Linked DNA regions of Mus musculus. The protein of the gene in region 1 purifies or fractionates together with the protein of each later gene. This does not show direct contact. Links are inferred from orthologs where the notes say so. Each region holds a gene or a part of one and is shown in the gene's direction. Other genes may lie near its edges.

The links.
Region 2: the proteins of Slc16a11 (region 1) and Emb purify together in Homo sapiens (co-immunoprecipitation; 3 studies listed by BioGRID and IntAct, counting the BioPlex papers as one, with this or other methods). This does not show direct contact. The link is inferred for Mus musculus from reciprocal best matches to the Homo sapiens genes SLC16A11 and EMB.

The regions. Positions count from the first base shown.
Region 1 is NC_000077.6:70,212,284-70,216,853, forward strand, and holds Slc16a11 (monocarboxylate transporter 11), read left to right. Parts: upstream 1-1,626; 5' UTR 1,627-1,981; intron 1,982-2,082; exon of another isoform or gene 2,083-2,218; 5' UTR 2,219-2,227; coding exon 2,228-2,429; intron 2,430-2,671; coding exon 2,672-2,815; intron 2,816-3,000; coding exon 3,001-3,768; intron 3,769-3,853; coding exon 3,854-4,083; 3' UTR 4,084-4,131; downstream 4,132-4,570. UniProt on the Homo sapiens protein: Proton-linked monocarboxylate transporter. It catalyzes the transport of pyruvate across the plasma membrane.
Region 2 is NC_000079.6:117,218,856-117,223,449, forward strand, and holds the start of Emb (embigin precursor), read left to right. Parts: upstream 1-1,717; 5' UTR 1,718-1,993; coding exon 1,994-2,102; intron 2,103-4,594. UniProt on the Homo sapiens protein: Plays a role in the outgrowth of motoneurons and in the formation of neuromuscular junctions.

The DNA.
Region 1 (4,570 bases):
TTTAATCCTTACAACAACCCTATCAGGTAACTGTTATTATAACCATTTGAAAAACAAGGAAGCAGATCCTCGTTTGCACTCAGATAGCGAAGCGAGAGTCAAGCTTAGTAAGTCTTCTTGGGGTTCTAGGTAGGGGGTCCACTTTTCCAATGTTCATTAACTCCATGGACAACACACATTGGCTCTGGCTATGAGCATGAGGAAGACGAGGAACATGCCCTTTCACAACCAATCACCCTAGGCTCCGGATTTTGCATTCTGCCAAAGTACACAGCATTATTTGGTACAACCCAGAAATAGTCTCCTCTCTGGCTGTATTTCTATTTCATCACGGAGAGAGCCATTCCTTTGGGCTGGCCGGGTTCCACTTACAGAGAGCAGACTTCTTACTGGCCTTCTCAAGAAACCAGCCAGCTGTTCCCTGCCTCCTTGGTGGCTGAGTACCTGCAGGCGCCACCACTCCGGTGGCTTTCACAGACAGCTCCTGGCTGGTGAATGCAGTGAGGCCACTTTCCTAAGGTGTCTGTGGCAGGGCCTCACACCTTCATGGTCTTCTGTTCTAGGACATTTCAGCAGAAAAACCATTTATGTGAAAACCCAGAACTGAGAAAAGGGTAGACTTACTGAGGAGGGAGGACGCTGATTCCCTGGGGTGGGAGTGTGGGATGGGAAGGTAGCCTGGCTCTCCTTTAATGGTTGTGAGGCCTTCCCCAAACACAGTGATGTGCTTCTGAAAGTCTGTCTACTCTCTTTAGTCTTCCAGTTTCACGACTTCTCAGCTACGTTTCTTCCCTTTCTAGGCTGATACTTTCTCATCAATTAGGAAACACCGCCATCCCGTGGCTACGGGTTGATATAAGCTCCAACCTGCAAATCGCTGAAATTTCAATGGCATTGTTTAATGATTAAACCAAATGAATCAAATGGCGGAAGTAAAGCAATAGTGACTGCTAAAGAAGGTTGCTCGTTAAAATCTTCAAGAAAAACACCTGGGTTTATTTCTCTGAATTCTTCCTTAAAAAAAAAAAAATCTTGCCCAAGCCTTTCAGCTATTCCCAGCCACCCTCACACTGTGGCTCTGCATGAATTCTGTCCTTTCCACTACAGTTCACATCAATCTGTCTCTCCAAGCTCTTTCCCTCAACTGTCCCCAATCTCTGTGTCACTCCTAGGTCTGTTCTCCCTGTATCCTCCCACGATAGTATAAACCTAAGTTCAATTTTTTTTTTTTTTTTAGCTGAACGCTTTGGGGTGGGTTAGGGGTCAGCTATTACATTTGTAAAATGGGGATAGTGCCATCTTCATAGGGATATTGTAAGGATGAAATGGCCAAGTATGTAAAGACTGCCTGGAACATCACAGGTCTTGGTACCGAGAACTCGCCTTCCTTTCTAGTGAGGGCATGCTGGTGTTGTCCATTGGAGGCCAGTGATTTGAGTGATTTGATGTTGGAGCTTTACAGGATCCTCAACAACAAATCCGAGAATCCAAGAACTCATTTAGGTTTTGGAGACCACTGCTATTTTCATGCGTGGGCAGTTGGCCGGGCGAAGAGTGCAACCGGGCTCTTCTTGCGTGCGCAGCAGGTGCGTGGGTGTGAGCCCCGCGGCGTGAGAGGCGCGGGGAGAGGCGGGGCGCGGCCACCAGGTACGCTCACTCCTCGCGGTTCCCCAACCAGGGCTGGGGCTCGTGTGTGGATAATTCAATCCTCGTGGGACTCGGCGTCAGGCCTTAGCCAGGCCTGGGTGGATTGGCTGTCTCTCTTTCCCCCGCCCTCGGTATTCACCCCCACCCCCACCCCGTGTCCCAGGTGGCTTGGGCCCCTGTGGTGATCTCTGTTTACTGGAGAGAGCGGTCCAAGTTGGGCTCCATCTCTGTGCTGGCTAGCTGCTCCGCAGAACCCTTTCTGCGGAAAGCGCGGAGAAAATCCGGCCGAACCCACCTTCGCCCTTTCCCTACCCCCAACGCCGGGAGAGGTCGGGTAAGAGAAAGAGGGTTTGGGAAGGATGAGCCCCTGGCCTGGGGGATCCTGCTGCCCCTCCATCCCAGGACCTCACGCGCACCTAGGACTTCTATCCCTAGGCCTGGTTCCCGCGCCCATGCTCCGGGCGACGTGCCCTCCCTGGGCGAGCAGCCCGAGGCTGGATCTCAGGGACGTCAGCTCCCTAGCGGAGGCCCAGGCGTGGAGACTTCATTCACAGGTGTTTCCCCACCCCAGCAGACGGCGATGACCCCCAAGCCGGCCGGACCCCCGGACGGGGGCTGGGGCTGGGTGGTGGCGGCCGCAGCATTCGCCGTGAACGGGCTCTCCTACGGGCTCTTACGCTCCCTGGGCCTTGCCCTCCCCGACCTCGCGGAGCACTTTGAACGAAGCGCCCAGGACACTGCGTGGGTCAGCGCCCTGGCCTTGGCCGTGCAGCAGGCAGCCAGTGAGGGGGGCCCCCCGAGGTGGGAGGCGGGCACCGGGTGGAGAGGCCGTGGATGTAGTGATGGGAGACAGCAGACTTGATTACCAGACAACCTGAGAGTTACTGGTGGAACCAAATTCTAGAAGAGTGGGTCTTGAGGTCAATGGGAGGAGTTACCAGGCCAGGCAAAACAGCCAATGAGAAATGTTTCGGATAGTTTGGGGGTCCCGGGGCATGTCTTCGTTGACTCCGCCCCCTTCTAGGCCCAGTGGGCAGCGCCCTGAGCACTCGCTGGGGGGCACGCCCCGTGGTGATGGTTGGGGGAGTCCTAACCTCGCTTGGCTTGGTCTTCTCGGCTTTCGCCCGAAGCCTCCTGCACCTCTACCTCGGCCTGGGCCTCCTCGCTGGTAAGAAGAGTGGGGTGGCTGTATGTTTAAGGGGTGATAATGGGGACAGGAACTTCTTATAGGATAGGGGACTGTACAAGGCGGTGTGTGTGTGTGTGTCCGCGTGAGCGTGCAGAGGAGAAGAGGGGCTAAAGAATGTTTGCAAAGCCATGCCTGTACCCTCATCCTGTCCTATCCATTTGCAGGCTCTGGCTGGGCCCTGGTGTTTGCCCCAGCCCTGGGTACCCTCTCTCGGTACTTCTCCCGCCGTCGGGTCTTGGCGGTAGGGTTGGCGCTCACCGGTAATGGGGCATCCTCGCTGCTCCTGGCACCTGCCTTGCAGTTCCTCCTTGATACTTTCGGCTGGCGGGGTGCCTTGCTCCTCCTTGGCGCTGTCACCCTTCACCTCACACCCTGTGGCGCCTTGCTAAGACCTTTAGCTCTCTCTGGTGACCCGCTGGCCCCACCTCGCACCCCCCTAGCTGCCCTTGGCCTAGGTCTGTTCAAGCGCCGGGCCTTTTCAGTCTTTGCTTTGGGCACCGCCTTGATCGGGGGCGGATACTTCGTCCCCTACGTTCATTTGGGTCCGCATGCTTTAGATCAAGGCATGGGTGGTTATGGGGCAGCGTTAGTGGTGGCTGTCGCTGCAGTGGGAGATGCCTGTGCCCGATTGGCCAGCGGATGGCTGGCAGACCAGGGCTGGGTGCCCCTTCCGAGGCTTCTGGTGGTGTTTGGGTCTCTGACTGGGTTAGGGGTACTAGCAATGGGACTAGTGCCCACTGTGGGGACAGAGGAGGGTTGGGGGGCTCCTCTGCTGGCCGCTGCTGGGGCCTATGGGCTGAGCGCTGGGAGTTATGCCCCACTGGTTTTCGGTGTGCTCCCGGGGCTGGTGGGCATTGGAGGTGTGGTGCAGGCCACAGGGCTGGTGATGATGCTGATGAGCCTCGGGGGACTCCTGGGCCCTCCTCTGTCAGGTAAGGGCTGAGCTCGCGGATTCGCTCACGACTCTCTTCTGCCCCTGAGATGCCAAGCTTCTAAATTCCTTTCCCCTCTTCTCAGGCTTCCTAAGGGATAAGACAGGAGACTTCAGTGCCTCTTTCCTGGTGTGCAGCTCTTTCATCCTCTCTGGCAGTTTCATCTACATGGGGCTGCCCAGAGCCCTCCCCTCCTGCCGTCCAGCCTCACCTCCAGCAACCCCTCCACCAGAGAGAGGGGAGCTGCTCCCAGTTCCACAAGTCTCCCTGCTTTCCGCAGGGGGTACTGGCTCCATCCGGGATACCACTTGTTGATCATTTTCTTGGTTGACCTCCTTCCCTAATAAAGAATTTTTATCTTACCCTCTTGAGAGTTCCATTAGCCAAACCAGGACCTCAAAGCATCTCTACTTATTTCAATAAAACTAGTTGAAAGCAACAGGGTCCCAGCAGCCCCGGGGCGGTGAGGGATGATGTCTGCCCAGTTTTTATTTGTCCAAATCCTTGCCTTTTAAGAGGATCTTGGAGAAATTGTCAGCTAGTCAGTTCCAGTTTGTTAGGGGCATAACTAAACCTCATACTTTCTTAACCTCTAAAAATTACTTTAACTCATGTGTGTTTGTGGAGGACAACCCTCTCGGAGCTGGACTTACAAGCAGCTGTGAACCAGGTGTAGGCACCAGGAGTAAGCAGGTCAGCTGGGAGAGGAGCAAGATGCTGAGCTTGACCATCAGACCTACCTTTAAACCGATTTTTATTTGTTACGTGGGAGGTGGGGGAGGTTGGGGGGGTGCCCACGGAT
Region 2 (4,594 bases), on another chromosome or scaffold:
GATGGCTGACACTGTTTGTAACTCAGGTTCTAGGGATCCATTGCCCTTCTCTGGCTTCCATGGGCACCAGGCACACATGCGATACAGACCTACATGCAGGCAACACCCACCCCCACCCGCACACAATGTATTGGCATGCTGTGGCATGCATTCGTGGAGGCTGAGATAGAGGAACTGCATGACTCCAGGGCCTGGGGGCTAGCCTCAGCAACACAGCCAAATTATGTCTAAGACACACCAAACAAAAAACTCCAGAAAAGACCTGTCCCCTGGAGAGATGGCTCAGAGGTTAAGAGCACTGACTGTTCTTCCAGAGGTTCTGAGTTCAAATCCCAGCAACCACATGGTGGCTCACAATCATCTGTAATGAGATCTGATGCCCTCTTCTGGTGGTCTGAAGACAGCTACAATGTACTCATATATAATAATAATAATAATAATAATAATAATAATAATAATAATAATAGACCTGCCCCCACCTCAGGCAAGCATTCCATCACAACTAGTATTTGCTGTGTTACACAGAGACACTATTATCTTCATAGAGACCTCAAACAAAAAGGTAAAAATTGCTACGGGTCGCGTTTAATGCCCTCAGCGTAAATGACATGACTTTTCTTCTTCTCCATGTATAAGCCCACAGTTTTCCAGGAATCTCACCTGCAACCCCATTTACAACAAAAGGAAATGTCTTAACTATCCGGTAGAACGCTTGCAGTCCATGTTTTGATCTTATCAGACTGTAACTCCACGAAAGGCGCCCCTGTAGCCACCCTACAAAAAGGAGGGATGGGGGGAGGGGCTCTTAGCAGCCCCTTTGAGTTGTAACTTGGGAGCCACCAAAATGGTCTTTATGGTTACTGTTAAAACACAGCTCTGAAACCCATGCACCTGGTCTTGGATGTGTCTTATTGTTATTAGCCCTCATATTTAAATCTACTCTGAGAAAACCCTCTTTTTAATTAACTCCAGCTCTGCTTCATACCACATCATTCTTTAATTCCTTCCTTCAGTTTTACCTGAGTGGAGGTTCCTAAGGGACAAAGGGCTACTAAGTAGGGCTTGCTGAGTGCCCCGGATTTAAGGCTCACTAGTTTTAACCTAGACGCCTTTCCCGCTGAATAGGAAAACAATTGTTTTGAACTATCTCAATTTATTTGATAGGAGAGTAAGAAACTTCAACCTCCGGCCCCGCGTGGGTAAGAGATAACATTGTATTCCACAATGTTTGACAAAGATGAATGGCCTTCTGCCATTTACACAGAATCCCCTTAACTTAGTTTTTGTTTGGTGAGCTCTTTGGCGCCAGGAGAGCTGTTGCCGCAAGCAAACAAAGGGAAACACACTGTGGGGCCTAGGGACTCTGAAATCTTAATCCGGAGGGAACTGGCCAAACCTTCAGAGGGGGAGGGTATGCACGACTAATAGAAAGCTCTGAGAAACATTAATTTAAGTACCGGGCTTGGGGGCACTGAATAGCGCCCTCGGTCTGGTAAGAAGAAACCTTTGCACATCCAAAGATGTATAGGAGCAGAACTATCCGGTCCTTTTCACCTGTCACATCAAAGTAAATGTGTGAACCCATCCAACGGATGGAAAGAACACTCTGTGGGGAGTTGCAACCCCTCCGGGAGGTGATGGGGTACACACACCTGGCTGGCTCCAGGAGCTAGGTCCCTCCCCAACCTGTGTTAGCCAGAGGGTGGGGGCGGGAGAGGATTCGGCGCCGAGGTTGCACAGCACATCCGGGCGCGCCGGTAGCGGGCTGCGGGCTGCATAATTGATGGAAGGCCGGCGCAATTGCGCTGGGAGCGTCTCGGGGGTGGAGGCCAGGGCGGCCGGGCCCCTCCCACTCGGTTTATTCTCGAGTGTCCTGTCCCCAGGACTGGCAGTGGGCGCCCAGTTACCAGCAAGTGTACACAGGGACCAACGGAGACGGATCGCAGCGAGCTGAGGGTGCCTTAGCGACCTCCTGGACAGACCCGCCCGCGCCATGCGCTCGCACACTGGCCTGAGGGCGCTTGTGGCGCCTGGTTACCCGCTCCTCCTTCTATGTCTTCTGGCGGCGACGCGCCCTGATCCGGCTGAGGGCGATCCCACAGGTACCTGGGGGGTTCGGGGGGCTGGCGCGGGGAGGGCTCTGGGTTCACCGGAAGAGGCTCAGTGGCGGCGACCCTCCAGCCCGACGACATCCCTTGCCGCTCGCGCAGGGGCCGCGGGGATGCAGGCGCAGGCGGCTACGGAGCGGAGAGGGGGGTGGCCTTTCATTGGCTGGGCGCGGGTTACCCAAGGAGGAAACGTGGGAGCCCGGGTGGCTCCGCATCCGCCGGGTATAGGGATGATCCCGTCCCAGTAAAGCTCAGTTTGATCCTGGGAGCTGGTAGTGAGACAGGGTCGGATTTTTCCTAGGAAGTGGGCAAATAGAGTGCGTGGGTTTGTGCGGGGGAGACTGGGGGCTTCTGCTAGTGTGGCATGATTATGAGTCCACATTCCGCGAGGCCGGCTCCCTTCATTAGAGCCACAGCGAGGCTCTCGTATCACCTTTCCTCCTGGCAGGTGTTGAAATTGAGTATGATTTTTAGAGCAGAGGGTAAAAATCGCGATAGCCAGCCAACTCAAACAAGCCCAGATAAGAAAATTAGACGTGTGTGTTGTCTTTTCATAACAATCTTTATAAAAACAAAACATTTTTCAAGGGTGTTGGGTTGCGTGTTTACGGCATGCGGACAGAAGGATTTCCGTGAAAAACATTACCGGGTCAAGATCTATTTTGCCACCTTAACTCACCTTTTTATACTTTATGTGTTGCAAGCGATCCAATGCTTTTCAGTGCAAGTTCCTGTGTCTGTGGCAGGTTAGCTCCCATTTAAGTCACCACTAACTTTCTTAAGCAGTTGAAAGACTGGCTTTACTGGGAACTAAATCCAGACATTATTCCACACAAGGTTTTGCGCTATTATAAATTATTTCCATGAGGTTATAGCATGTAGATTGGTTAAACATAGTATAAAAGAAAATGGTCAAAAGGACACACACACACACTGTTAACTTGGATTCTTCTAGTCCCTAGATTTTCTTGTTCCACATGTTTTCCATCATAATAGTTTAGGACATGACCTTACCAGGCGAACCTGGTTCTTCGGTCCTCTTCCATGCATCATTTATCATATGCTTCTGAAAAATATAGCCTCTTTTTCTAACTCGCTTCTTTTGCCTCCCCGCTTCCCCTTTCCGCTCCCAGCTCCTTCCCTCCCCCTCTCTTCCTTTCTTCCTCCTTCCCCCTTCCTTCTTTCTTCCCTCTGCACTTCCCTCTGCTGTTGTCTTCCTCCTTTCCGTGAGCGTGGGCCTGCGTGGACAGAAGCACCTCCACCTTGGAACTACAAATCCAGCCTACACTATTGTTTTGAGATTCAGTGTCTCTTGGGTTAGTTCTAGAAGTTTGCCTTCTCCACTTGGCAGTGGTGGGAACTTTTTCCCCAAGAGCTTTAAAAAGACCGATCTCCAGGTCTTGCCCTAGAAACAACTGATTCTTTTAGCATAGAAGTCAGCCTGGACATTAGCAGTTTGGAAAAATTCTCAGTGTGAGTCAAAGCAGGCAAAAATCACGAGAGGACCCAAGGGTGTATTGTTGCTGACGTCAGGTTGAAGTTAATGTACCCCCCTGGCTTCTATAGAGAAGAAACTTGGAAGCAGATGAAGCTGTAAATAAACGTGCTGAAAGTCAGGGGAACGTGGGACTTCCTTGGAAGACTCAGCTCAGACGAAAGTTACAAAATTTGAATGCCTTGGTATCTGAATTCCCAGCATCCATTTGGCAGCTTCCAACCATCTGTAACTGCAGTCCCAGGGGATCCGTCCTCTTCTAGCCTCCTTGGGCATGGGCATAGATGTAGGGAAAACACTCATATACATAAAAACAAATAGCTAGATGGATAGATGAAAGGATAAATAAAGTGGTGAGGCCTCTACAACTCTTCCTAGATTCAGTATTAACTTGAATGAGATTCAACATTGTCTTTACTAAAGCAATACAGCAAGGTTTATTGAGTGCTTATGTCTTTATACTTTGGACTATTTAGAAATAGGTGTTCTGCTAAAAGAAGATTTTTGGGGGCCAATATCAATAATGTAAGTTACTGTACTAATACAGTGTCAGAGGCACTGCACTGTGCAGTGTGTAGCCTGATGGATTAGACTTTATTTTCCCTGATTTCCTTTCTTTCTTTTTTTAAAAGATTTATTTATTTTATTTATATGAGTACACTGTAGTTGTCTAAAGACACACCAGAAGAGGGCATCAGATCTCATTACAGATGGTTGTGAGTCACCACGTGGTTGCTGGGAATTGAACTCAGTAGCTCTGGAAGAGCAGTCAGTGCTCTTAACCGCTGAGCCATGTCTCCAGCCCCTCCCTGATTTTCCAAAGAGGAAGTTGGGCAGTCAGTTAAGCAATTGCCTAGTGCGTGGAGTTAGTTTAGTAGTAAAGCAGAAGGTTTAAAGTGAGTCTCCCTCCATAGCCCGTTTTCTTAAACACAGCTCTCTCAGAGATCACTGCACCTACCTGTGTGAGTCTGTATGTGTGAAACCACATGTG